Linked DNA regions of Saccharomyces cerevisiae S288C. The protein of the gene in region 1 binds, or shares a complex with, the protein of each later gene. Each region holds a gene or a part of one and is shown in the gene's direction. Other genes may lie near its edges.

Region 1 (5,412 bases):
ATATATAATATAGGAAGCATTTAATAGAACAGCATCGTAATATATGTGTACTTTGCAGTTATGACGCCAGATGGCAGTAGTGGAAGATATTCTTTATTGAAAAATAGCTTGTCACCTTACGTACAATCTTGATCCGGAGCTTTTCTTTTTTTGCCGATTAAGAATTCGGTCGAAAAAAGAAAAGGAGAGGGCCAAGAGGGAGGGCATTGGTGACTATTGAGCACGTGAGTATACGTGATTAAGCACACAAAGGCAGCTTGGAGTATGTCTGTTATTAATTTCACAGGTAGTTCTGGTCCATTGGTGAAAGTTTGCGGCTTGCAGAGCACAGAGGCCGCAGAATGTGCTCTAGATTCCGATGCTGACTTGCTGGGTATTATATGTGTGCCCAATAGAAAGAGAACAATTGACCCGGTTATTGCAAGGAAAATTTCAAGTCTTGTAAAAGCATATAAAAATAGTTCAGGCACTCCGAAATACTTGGTTGGCGTGTTTCGTAATCAACCTAAGGAGGATGTTTTGGCTCTGGTCAATGATTACGGCATTGATATCGTCCAACTGCATGGAGATGAGTCGTGGCAAGAATACCAAGAGTTCCTCGGTTTGCCAGTTATTAAAAGACTCGTATTTCCAAAAGACTGCAACATACTACTCAGTGCAGCTTCACAGAAACCTCATTCGTTTATTCCCTTGTTTGATTCAGAAGCAGGTGGGACAGGTGAACTTTTGGATTGGAACTCGATTTCTGACTGGGTTGGAAGGCAAGAGAGCCCCGAAAGCTTACATTTTATGTTAGCTGGTGGACTGACGCCAGAAAATGTTGGTGATGCGCTTAGATTAAATGGCGTTATTGGTGTTGATGTAAGCGGAGGTGTGGAGACAAATGGTGTAAAAGACTCTAACAAAATAGCAAATTTCGTCAAAAATGCTAAGAAATAGGTTATTACTGAGTAGTATTTATTTAAGTATTGTTTGTGCACTTGCCTGCAGGCCTTTTGAAAAGCAAGCATAAAAGATCTAAACATAAAATCTGTAAAATAACAAGATGTAAAGATAATGCTAAATCATTTGGCTTTTTGATTGATTGTACAGGAAAATATACATCGCAGGGGGTTGACTTTTACCATTTCACCGCAATGGAATCAAACTTGTTGAAGAGAATGTTCACAGGCGCATACGCTACAATGACCCGATTCTTGCTAGCCTTTTCTCGGTCTTGCAAACAACCGCCGGCAGCTTAGTATATAAATACACATGTACATACCTCTCTCCGTATCCTCGTAATCATTTTCTTGTATTTATCGTCTTTTCGCTGTAAAAACTTTATCACACTTATCTCAAATACACTTATTAACCGCTTTTACTATTATCTTCTACGCTGACAGTAATATCAAACAGTGACACATATTAAACACAGTGGTTTCTTTGCATAAACACCATCAGCCTCAAGTCGTCAAGTAAAGATTTCGTGTTCATGCAGATAGATAACAATCTATATGTTGATAATTAGCGTTGCCTCATCAATGCGAGATCCGTTTAACCGGACCCTAGTGCACTTACCCCACGTTCGGTCCACTGTGTGCCGAACATGCTCCTTCACTATTTTAACATGTGGAATTCTTGAAAGAATGAAATCGCCATGCCAAGCCATCACACGGTCTTTTATGCAATTGATTGACCGCCTGCAACACATAGGCAGTAAAATTTTTACTGAAACGTATATAATCATCATAAGCGACAAGTGAGGCAACACCTTTGTTACCACATTGACAACCCCAGGTATTCATACTTCCTATTAGCGGAATCAGGAGTGCAAAAAGAGAAAATAAAAGTAAAAAGGTAGGGCAACACATAGTATGAATACAAACGTTCCAATATTCAGTTCTCCGGTCAGAGATTTACCAAGGTCTTTCGAACAAAAACATTTAGCGGTTGTAGATGCATTTTTCCAAACATACCATGTCAAACCTGATTTTATCGCTAGGTCTCCTGGCAGAGTAAATCTGATTGGTGAGCATATAGATTATTGCGATTTTTCAGTTTTGCCATTAGCCATTGATGTGGATATGCTTTGCGCAGTTAAAATTTTAGACGAAAAAAATCCATCCATTACCTTAACAAATGCGGACCCTAAATTTGCTCAGCGAAAGTTTGATCTGCCTTTAGATGGTTCCTACATGGCCATAGATCCGTCTGTGTCGGAATGGTCGAATTACTTTAAATGCGGACTACATGTGGCACATTCATACTTGAAAAAAATTGCTCCGGAAAGATTTAATAATACACCCTTAGTAGGTGCGCAGATCTTTTGCCAGAGCGATATTCCTACTGGTGGTGGACTCTCATCTGCATTTACTTGCGCGGCAGCACTAGCCACAATTAGAGCCAATATGGGAAAAAATTTTGATATTTCCAAAAAAGACTTGACCCGCATCACAGCGGTTGCTGAGCACTATGTTGGAGTCAATAATGGTGGTATGGATCAAGCAACGTCTGTTTATGGGGAAGAAGATCATGCTCTATACGTAGAGTTTAGGCCAAAACTAAAGGCCACACCTTTCAAGTTTCCTCAATTGAAAAATCATGAAATCAGTTTCGTCATCGCCAATACTCTTGTAAAGTCTAATAAATTCGAAACTGCTCCTACAAATTACAATTTAAGAGTAATAGAGGTAACAGTTGCTGCCAACGCCTTGGCGACCAGATACAGCGTGGCCTTACCATCTCACAAGGACAATTCTAACTCAGAAAGAGGGAATCTAAGAGATTTTATGGATGCTTACTACGCCAGATACGAAAACCAAGCCCAACCATGGAATGGAGATATCGGAACTGGTATTGAACGTTTACTCAAGATGCTACAATTGGTAGAAGAATCTTTCTCGAGGAAAAAGAGCGGATTCACTGTACATGAAGCCTCTACGGCGCTAAACTGTTCACGTGAGGAGTTCACTAGAGATTACCTGACAACTTTTCCCGTCCGCTTCCAAGTCTTGAAACTATATCAAAGAGCTAAACACGTTTACTCCGAATCCTTAAGGGTGCTTAAGGCTTTAAAAATGATGACAAGTGCCACTTTTCACACGGACGAAGATTTCTTTACAGATTTTGGCCGACTAATGAATGAGTCCCAGGCCTCTTGTGATAAACTTTATGAATGTTCGTGCATAGAAACCAATCAAATATGCTCGATTGCCCTAGCAAATGGTTCTTTCGGCTCCCGTCTCACTGGCGCTGGTTGGGGCGGTTGCACTATCCACCTTGTTCCTAGTGGCGCTAATGGGAACGTGGAACAGGTACGAAAAGCACTAATCGAAAAATTCTACAATGTAAGATATCCGGATCTCACAGATGAAGAACTAAAAGACGCAATTATAGTTTCGAAGCCTGCCTTGGGTACTTGTTTGTACGAACAATAACACTAAACACCTTCTTGGAACAACCTTTAAATATTAAAAGTTTACTCATACCTCTTACACTCTATAAAGAAACAAGTTGGTGAGTCCAATAGAACCCATTCCAGCATCCGATGCAACCATAGCCCGGTTGATGCGAGTCAGAGTGGCTCCGCACACAGAGGTTATGTGACCATGGTAACCGTACACATTTTTCCACGGCAAGGAAGTGGCGCGAAAGAAGCACCGCCCTCCACGGATCACCCCATTTGGAAAAGAACGGAGACATAAAAAAAAATTACCTTCACGCCAGACTATGTATGACTCGTAGAAATCTAGCATCCGCGGAGCTATTTTAAGTTTCCGCGGATGCCTTTCGATCCTTTCCCAGTCGTCTGGTTCCGCGCACATATGACTAAATGTCCGCCCATTTCCGTTTAAATCCGTTTTCTATTTTCTTTAGGTCTTTCCATTGTATTCCCTGCAACCCCGCTGGGTATTGGTATTACTAATAGTGACTACGCAACATCAACATATAAAACAAATGATGAGTAGTGCCCCTCCCTCACCGCTATCGCCTCACCACTTTTTATGCTTGTATATGCTTGTAGATAAATAAATACCTAACGAAAACAATATATACGAACCTAGTGTATTTGTATCTTTTGTTTTTCAAGTTGAAGTGTTGCGAGGTCAAAAAAAAAAAAGCTCACTGTAGGATATAGGAGTTACTATATCACCAGTGCATTACATTCTCAGTGCATCCATCGTCTTCAACATTGATTATTTTCTCCTTCCATTGATTAGAGTTCAAGCTCCCTGAGAAAACGAAGGTATAGCGGACGTACCCGCAGAGACATAAAAAAAGAAAAACTATATCGAAGACCGAAAGCAGTAAAAAAGTGGATAGAATAACACAGCTACCAAAATACGTAAAGAGAATTCAATGAGCAATATCAAAAGCACGCAAGATAGCTCTCATAATGCTGTCGCTAGAAGCTCAAGCGCTTCTTTTGCAGCTTCAGAAGAATCATTTACGGGCATAACCCATGACAAAGATGAGCAGAGCGATACCCCGGCGGATAAACTAACAAAAATGCTGACAGGACCTGCAAGAGACACTGCGAGCCAGATTAGTGCCACTGTGTCTGAAATGGCGCCAGATGTCGTATCTAAAGTGGAGTCATTTGCAGATGCACTATCCCGTCATACAACGAGAAGCGGTGCCTTTAATATGGATTCAGATAGTGACGATGGGTTCGATGCCCATGCCATCTTTGAAAGTTTTGTAAGAGACGCTGATGAGCAAGGCATCCATATCCGCAAGGCTGGTGTTACCATAGAGGACGTAAGCGCTAAAGGTGTGGATGCGAGTGCCCTAGAAGGTGCTACCTTTGGTAACATTCTTTGTTTACCGTTGACCATCTTTAAAGGTATTAAGGCTAAGAGGCATCAAAAGATGAGACAGATCATAAGCAATGTCAATGCCCTGGCAGAAGCGGGTGAAATGATTTTGGTTCTTGGAAGGCCTGGTGCTGGTTGTTCCTCCTTTTTAAAAGTAACAGCTGGTGAAATAGATCAGTTTGCCGGTGGTGTTTCCGGTGAAGTAGCATATGATGGTATTCCCCAAGAAGAAATGATGAAACGATATAAAGCAGATGTTATTTACAATGGTGAGTTGGATGTTCATTTCCCTTATTTAACAGTTAAGCAAACTTTGGATTTCGCTATTGCCTGCAAAACGCCTGCTCTCAGAGTCAATAACGTTTCCAAAAAGGAATACATTGCATCCAGAAGAGATTTATATGCAACCATTTTCGGTCTAAGGCATACCTATAATACCAAAGTTGGTAACGATTTCGTTAGAGGTGTATCTGGTGGTGAACGTAAGCGTGTTTCCATTGCCGAGGCTTTGGCAGCCAAAGGTTCCATTTACTGTTGGGATAATGCCACTAGAGGTTTGGATGCGTCTACGGCCTTAGAATACGCAAAAGCCATCCGTATTATGACAAACTTA
Region 2 (5,946 bases), on another chromosome or scaffold:
TTAATATTCATTGATCCTATTACATTATCAATCCTTGCGTTTCAGCTTCCACTAATTTAGATGACTATTTCTCATCATTTGCGTCATCTTCTAACACCGTATATGATAATATACTAGTAACGTAAATACTAGTTAGTAGATGATAGTTGATTTTTATTCCAACACTTATATTCTATATATCCATAACATTGTCTACATATAATCCGAGAGGTTACGACAACATTCATATAATAAGGGTAGTACTGACACTTTATTTTGAAGTAAATCAAAATAGTCACTCTCGGTAGCCAAGTTGGTTTAAGGCGCAAGACTGTAATTTACCACTACGAAATCTTGAGATCGGGCGTTCGACTCGCCCCCGGGAGATATTTTTTTTCCCTTTTTCTCCAGGCCTAGTGAGGTTTGAGTTTTGAACGTTTTATAGATAGATGTAAGGTAGCCAGAATGAGCACTTAGCCTTTAAAGTAAATTGAGTAGAGATACGTAAACAGTCGTGATAAATATGTAATACATTGTATTATTTTAAATAGGTTAAATTTTCTTTTTTTTTTTTCCATTTCATTTTCATTTTCATTTCCTGCAGTTATTTTTTTTCTTATTAATCTATATCCATGTAATCGTTAGCGATATTGTTGTTAGTCAACGCGGCCATGGCAGTACCGGGTGCTTGTGATGCAATTATACTTTGGGATGGTAGAAGATGATACTGGTGTTGTATAATACTAGCACTTCCAGTAGGACTCGTGCCTGTTATGTCGCGATTAGTGTTACCGAAATAACCATGAATCATGTACTCTTCTGTTTCAGAATAAAATTCAGATTCGTTCAGTAAGCGGCTGTTCATAGTGTGGTGCATACTAACCGGTTTCAGGGGACATATTTCGATATTTTTTTTATAATGAATATTATTGTAGGTTGCAGTATTATTGCTGTTATTATGATTATGGTTATTATTATTATTATTGTTGTTGTTGTTGTTGTTGATGATGATGTTGTTGTTGTTGTTATTAAGATTAGCACACCCGGAACCGACCGAAAACTTTGTACTTACAGAATCTCGTTTTGTTCTCTTCGATCTTTGGTAGAAAGTGTGTGTATCAAACTCGAAATGGTCATTTTTTCTTTTATTCATGATCGTATCATTATTGGCGTCGCTGTTGTATGTAGTGGCGGCATTGCTACCGGAATTGCAATTGTTTGTTTGGAACGCAGTATTGTGTTCATAGTATGAGAGCATTTCACGCAGCACACTTGAGTCTTAAATTAATGAATAAAAGCAGCCAACCCCAAGAAAAAAGAGCCCTTATCTGTTTCTGTCGCAGTCCTATTGTATTCTTCCTAACTATATAATTTTGTCAAAATGAAAAATATAAAAAAAATAATAAAGTCAGCTGAGTGGTAAAGAGAAAGCAAAGGGAGAGAAAAATCGGTTACCCAGATGGATTAGGTTACCCAGATGTCATACGTGTATCATGATTTCTAGAAATTATTACCCTGTTTGGTACCATGACAACGGATATGGCAATCTTGCATTAAGTAAAATGTCTCTAATGGGACCGTGAAGGTACAAAACAGCAATGGTCTAGGTAGTGGCATTCGAAGCTTCGAAAGCGTGGCCTCGCCTCGAGCGTGAAGTCATATTTTCTCACTCTGCACTGCCGTGCTGTGCCATGTAGCCCACTGTATGCCTCTAGCACCCCAATCGGGAAAATTGTAAACATTAGCAGGTGTCGCCTCGAGGCCCCCGATACATTTTTCAACATCTCCTCGATACTTAAACAGCAAACAAACAAGCAACACCCACGCAAGAAGATTTATTAATACCTCTTGACTCCCGTAGATATTGAAGAGACTAAGTATAGTAACGCATATCCGCACAATACTATGGTTAAGGTCTGGAATATAGTACTACGTCTGGTAGTGTTGCTGTTTTTAGCAGGTAATACCTTGCTGTTAATTTTGATGATTATATCTGGTGCCACGGACCATTACCCCGTGAACAGATTCTATTGGGTGCAGGGCAATACAACAGGCATACCTAATGCTGGGGATGAAACACGTTGGACGTTTTGGGGCGCCTGTCTACAGGATAAAGACGGGTCGGATACCTGCACAAGCAATTTGGCACCTGCATACCCCATTTCCCCAGTAGATAACTTCAACACACACATCAATGTCCCTCACCAGTTTATTTCCAAAAGAGACGCTTTTTACTACCTGACTAGATTTTCATTTTGTTTCTTTTGGATTGCGCTTGCCTTTGTAGGTGTGTCGTTTATCCTTTACGTTTTGACTTGGTGCTCGAAGATGCTTTCAGAGATGGTGCTTATCCTCATGTCTTTTGGGTTTGTCTTCAATACGGCAGCCGTTGTCTTGCAAACGGCCGCCTCTGCCATGGCAAAGAATGCTTTCCATGACGATCATCGTAGTGCCCAATTGGGTGCCTCTATGATGGGTATGGCTTGGGCAAGTGTCTTTTTATGTATCGTGGAATTTATCCTGCTGGTCTTCTGGTCTGTTAGGGCAAGGTTGGCCTCTACTTACTCCATCGACAATTCAAGATACAGAACCTCCTCCAGATGGAATCCCTTCCATAGAGAGAAGGAGCAAGCAACTGACCCAATATTGACTGCCACTGGACCTGAAGACATGCAACAAAGTGCAAGCATAGTGGGGCCTTCTTCCAATGCTAATCCGGTCACTGCCACTGCTGCTACGGAAAACCAACCTAAAGGTATTAACTTCTTCACTATAAGAAAATCACACGAGCGCCCGGACGATGTCTCTGTTTAAATGGCGCAAGTTTTCCGCTTTGTAATATATATTTATACCCCTTTCTTCTCTCCCCTGCAATATAATAGTTTAATTCTAATATTAATAATATCCTATATTTTCTTCATTTACCGGCGCACTCTCGCCCGAACGACCTCAAAATGTCTGCTACATTCATAATAACCAAAAGCTCATAACTTTTTTTTTTGAACCTGAATATATATACATCACATATCACTGCTGGTCCTTGCCGACCAGCGTATACAATCTCGATAGTTGGTTTCCCGTTCTTTCCACTCCCGTCATGGACTACAACAAGAGATCTTCGGTCTCAACCGTGCCTAATGCAGCTCCCATAAGAGTCGGATTCGTCGGTCTCAACGCAGCCAAAGGATGGGCAATCAAGACACATTACCCCGCCATACTGCAACTATCGTCACAATTTCAAATCACTGCCTTATACAGTCCAAAAATTGAGACTTCTATTGCCACCATTCAGCGTCTAAAATTGAGTAATGCCACTGCTTTTCCCACTTTAGAGTCATTTGCATCATCTTCCACTATAGATATGATAGTGATAGCTATCCAAGTGGCCAGCCATTATGAAGTTGTTATGCCTCTCTTGGAATTCTCCAAAAATAATCCGAACCTCAAGTATCTTTTCGTAGAATGGGCCCTTGCATGTTCACTAGATCAAGCCGAATCCATTTATAAGGCTGCTGCTGAACGTGGGGTTCAAACCATCATCTCTTTACAAGGTCGTAAATCACCATATATTTTGAGAGCAAAAGAATTAATATCTCAAGGCTATATCGGCGACATTAATTCGATCGAGATTGCTGGAAATGGCGGTTGGTACGGCTACGAAAGGCCTGTTAAATCACCAAAATACATCTATGAAATCGGGAACGGTGTAGATCTGGTAACCACAACATTTGGTCACACAATCGATATTTTACAATACATGACAAGTTCGTACTTTTCCAGGATAAATGCAATGGTTTTCAATAATATTCCAGAGCAAGAGCTGATAGATGAGCGTGGTAACCGATTGGGCCAGCGAGTCCCAAAGACAGTACCGGATCATCTTTTATTCCAAGGCACATTGTTAAATGGCAATGTTCCAGTGTCATGCAGTTTCAAAGGTGGCAAACCTACCAAAAAATTTACCAAAAATTTGGTCATTGACATTCACGGTACCAAGGGAGATTTGAAACTTGAAGGCGATGCCGGCTTCGCAGAAATTTCAAATCTGGTCCTTTACTACAGTGGAACTAGAGCAAACGACTTCCCGCTAGCCAATGGACAACAAGCTCCTTTAGACCCGGGGTATGATGCAGGTAAAGAAATCATGGAAGTATATCATTTACGAAATTATAATGCCATTGTGGGTAATATTCATCGACTGTATCAATCTATCTCTGACTTCCACTTCAATACAAAGAAAATTCCTGAATTACCCTCACAATTTGTAATGCAAGGTTTCGATTTCGAAGGCTTTCCCACCTTGATGGATGCTCTGATATTACACAGGTTAATCGAGAGCGTTTATAAAAGTAACATGATGGGCTCCACATTAAACGTTAGCAATATCTCGCATTATAGTTTATAAAAGCATCTTGCCCTGTGCTTGGCCCCCAGTGCAGCGAACGTTATAAAAACGAATACTGAGTATATATCTATGTAAAACAACCATATCATTTCTTGTTCTGAACTTTGTTTACCTAACTAGTTTTAAATTTCCCTTTTTCGTGCATGCGGGTGTTCTTATTTATTAGCATACTACATTTGAAATATCAAATTTCCTTAGTAGAAAAGTGAGAGAAGGTGCACTGACACAAAAAATAAAATGCTACGTATAACTGTCAAAACTTTGCAGCAGCGGGCATCCTTCCATCATAGCTTCAAACATATTAGCGTTCCTGATCTTCATACCCGTGCTCAAAATGATCAAACAAACTGTTATTGCCAAGAAATAAACGCAAGGCTGCCTTCAAAAACTGATCCATTAGATCCTCATATCAAGCTTCCTCATAGAACGCCCAATTACAATAAGCATGTTTTGCTGTTATCACCGGGTGATAGGTTTGCTCAACCATGGAAGGTAGCATGGAATCATAATTTGGATACTAATACAAATCGGCCATATAATGCCATTAGTAAATTGCGCTCCCATTTAGGTGGTTCTCCAGGAATACTAATAAATGCGGTGCATTTGCAAAATGAATTTATTCCAAGGCCAAAACAACACGATGAATGGCTTTATTTTTTTGTTATTCCTGACATGAAGCTTTATGTAATTAAGGAAACGGACATCGAGGAATTTGCATCTTTTTTAGATGAAGGAGCTATTCAAGCACCAAAGCTATCCTTCCAGGATTATTTAAGCGGTAAGGCCAAGGCTTCCCAACAGGTTCATGAAGTGCATCATAGAAAGCTTACAAGGTTTCAGGGTGAAACTTTTCTAAGAGATTGGAACTTAGTCTGTGGGCATTATAAGAGAGATGCTAAGTGTGGAGAAATGGGACCCGACATAATTGCAGCATTTCAAGATGAAAAGCTTTTTCCTGAGAATAATCTAGCCTTAATTTCTCATATTGGGGGTCATATTTTTGCTGGTAATGTCATTTTCTATAAACTATTCGGCAGAGAAAAGATGCAAAACAAGCTGGATTCATTATGGTTTGGTAAAGTTTACCCACACAACTTGAAGCTGTTATGTGAAAACTTGGAAAACGGTAAAATCATCGACGAAATGTACAGAGGTGGCATATCGATGAATTAAAACGGTTTCCTTTTAAAACAGAAATAAAGATGAGGTGAAATTTTATATTTCTTATATTTAAAGCTATCATATATTCCTTGTACATATATTTATTAAGAAAATACATTAACACGCCTTTATACTTGGTATTATTACTGTAAAATCATTACATGTAATTTGTTCTGACTTCGTTGATTGTTTGAATTATATCCTCCACTTGTACACTCTTTAAATTTTTGGCCAAAAATTCCTGCTCATTCAAGGAAAGTCTCAGGAAATTTTCACATAAATCACCATCAATAACTTTACGTACAGGGGCATAATAGCTTCTGTATTCTTGGTGGTCTCTACCTAAAATGGAACAGGAACCCTCACATATTATTTCATCCTCTATACCATGCCGTCCTTGT

The links.
Region 2: the proteins of GAL3 (region 1) and GAL80 are in contact, whole or in part, in a crystal structure (PDB 3V2U), measured with the Saccharomyces cerevisiae proteins. Residues at the interface, in NP_010292.1 of Saccharomyces cerevisiae: Lys81 (codon at 2,097), Asn82 (codon at 2,100), Lys98 (codon at 2,148), Phe99 (codon at 2,151), Asp100 (codon at 2,154), Leu103 (codon at 2,163), Ala109 (codon at 2,181), Ile110 (codon at 2,184), Asp111 (codon at 2,187), Pro112 (codon at 2,190), Ser113 (codon at 2,193), Val114 (codon at 2,196), Lys122 (codon at 2,220), Tyr200 (codon at 2,454), Asn257 (codon at 2,625), Glu260 (codon at 2,634), Thr264 (codon at 2,646), Glu298 (codon at 2,748), Thr350 (codon at 2,904), Thr366 (codon at 2,952), Leu370 (codon at 2,964), Thr371 (codon at 2,967), Thr372 (codon at 2,970), Phe373 (codon at 2,973), Pro374 (codon at 2,976), Val375 (codon at 2,979), Arg376 (codon at 2,982), Phe377 (codon at 2,985), Gln378 (codon at 2,988), Val379 (codon at 2,991); in NP_013661.1 of Saccharomyces cerevisiae: Tyr37 (codon at 3,185), Leu41 (codon at 3,197), Gln42 (codon at 3,200), Leu43 (codon at 3,203), Ser44 (codon at 3,206), Ser45 (codon at 3,209), Arg66 (codon at 3,272), Leu67 (codon at 3,275), Lys68 (codon at 3,278), Ser70 (codon at 3,284), Pro156 (codon at 3,542), Arg160 (codon at 3,554), Val318 (codon at 4,028), Tyr320 (codon at 4,034), Leu339 (codon at 4,091), Tyr343 (codon at 4,103), Asp344 (codon at 4,106), Lys347 (codon at 4,115), Glu348 (codon at 4,118), Ile349 (codon at 4,121), Met350 (codon at 4,124), Glu351 (codon at 4,127), Val352 (codon at 4,130), Tyr353 (codon at 4,133), His354 (codon at 4,136), Leu355 (codon at 4,139), Arg356 (codon at 4,142), Asn357 (codon at 4,145), Tyr358 (codon at 4,148), Arg367 (codon at 4,175).

What each region holds. Positions count from the first base shown.
Region 1 is NC_001136.10:461,578-466,989, forward strand, and holds GAL3 (transcriptional regulator GAL3), read left to right. Parts: upstream 1-1,856; coding exon 1,857-3,419; downstream 3,420-5,412. Other genes in the region: phosphoribosylanthranilate isomerase TRP1, read left to right, coding at 265-939; YDR010C (uncharacterized protein), read right to left, coding at 3,474-3,806; ATP-binding cassette transporter SNQ2, read left to right, coding at 4,342-5,412.
Region 2 is NC_001145.3:168,518-174,463, forward strand, and holds GAL80 (transcription regulator GAL80), read left to right. Parts: upstream 1-3,076; coding exon 3,077-4,384; downstream 4,385-5,946. Other genes in the region: YML053C (uncharacterized protein), read right to left, coding at 599-1,237; SUR7 (Sur7p), read left to right, coding at 1,885-2,793; AIM32 (Aim32p), read left to right, coding at 4,622-5,557; U2 snRNP complex subunit RSE1, read right to left, coding at 5,703-5,946. UniProt on the Saccharomyces cerevisiae protein: This protein is a negative regulator for the gene expression of the lactose/galactose metabolic genes. It binds to GAL4 and so blocks transcriptional activation by it, in the absence of an inducing sugar.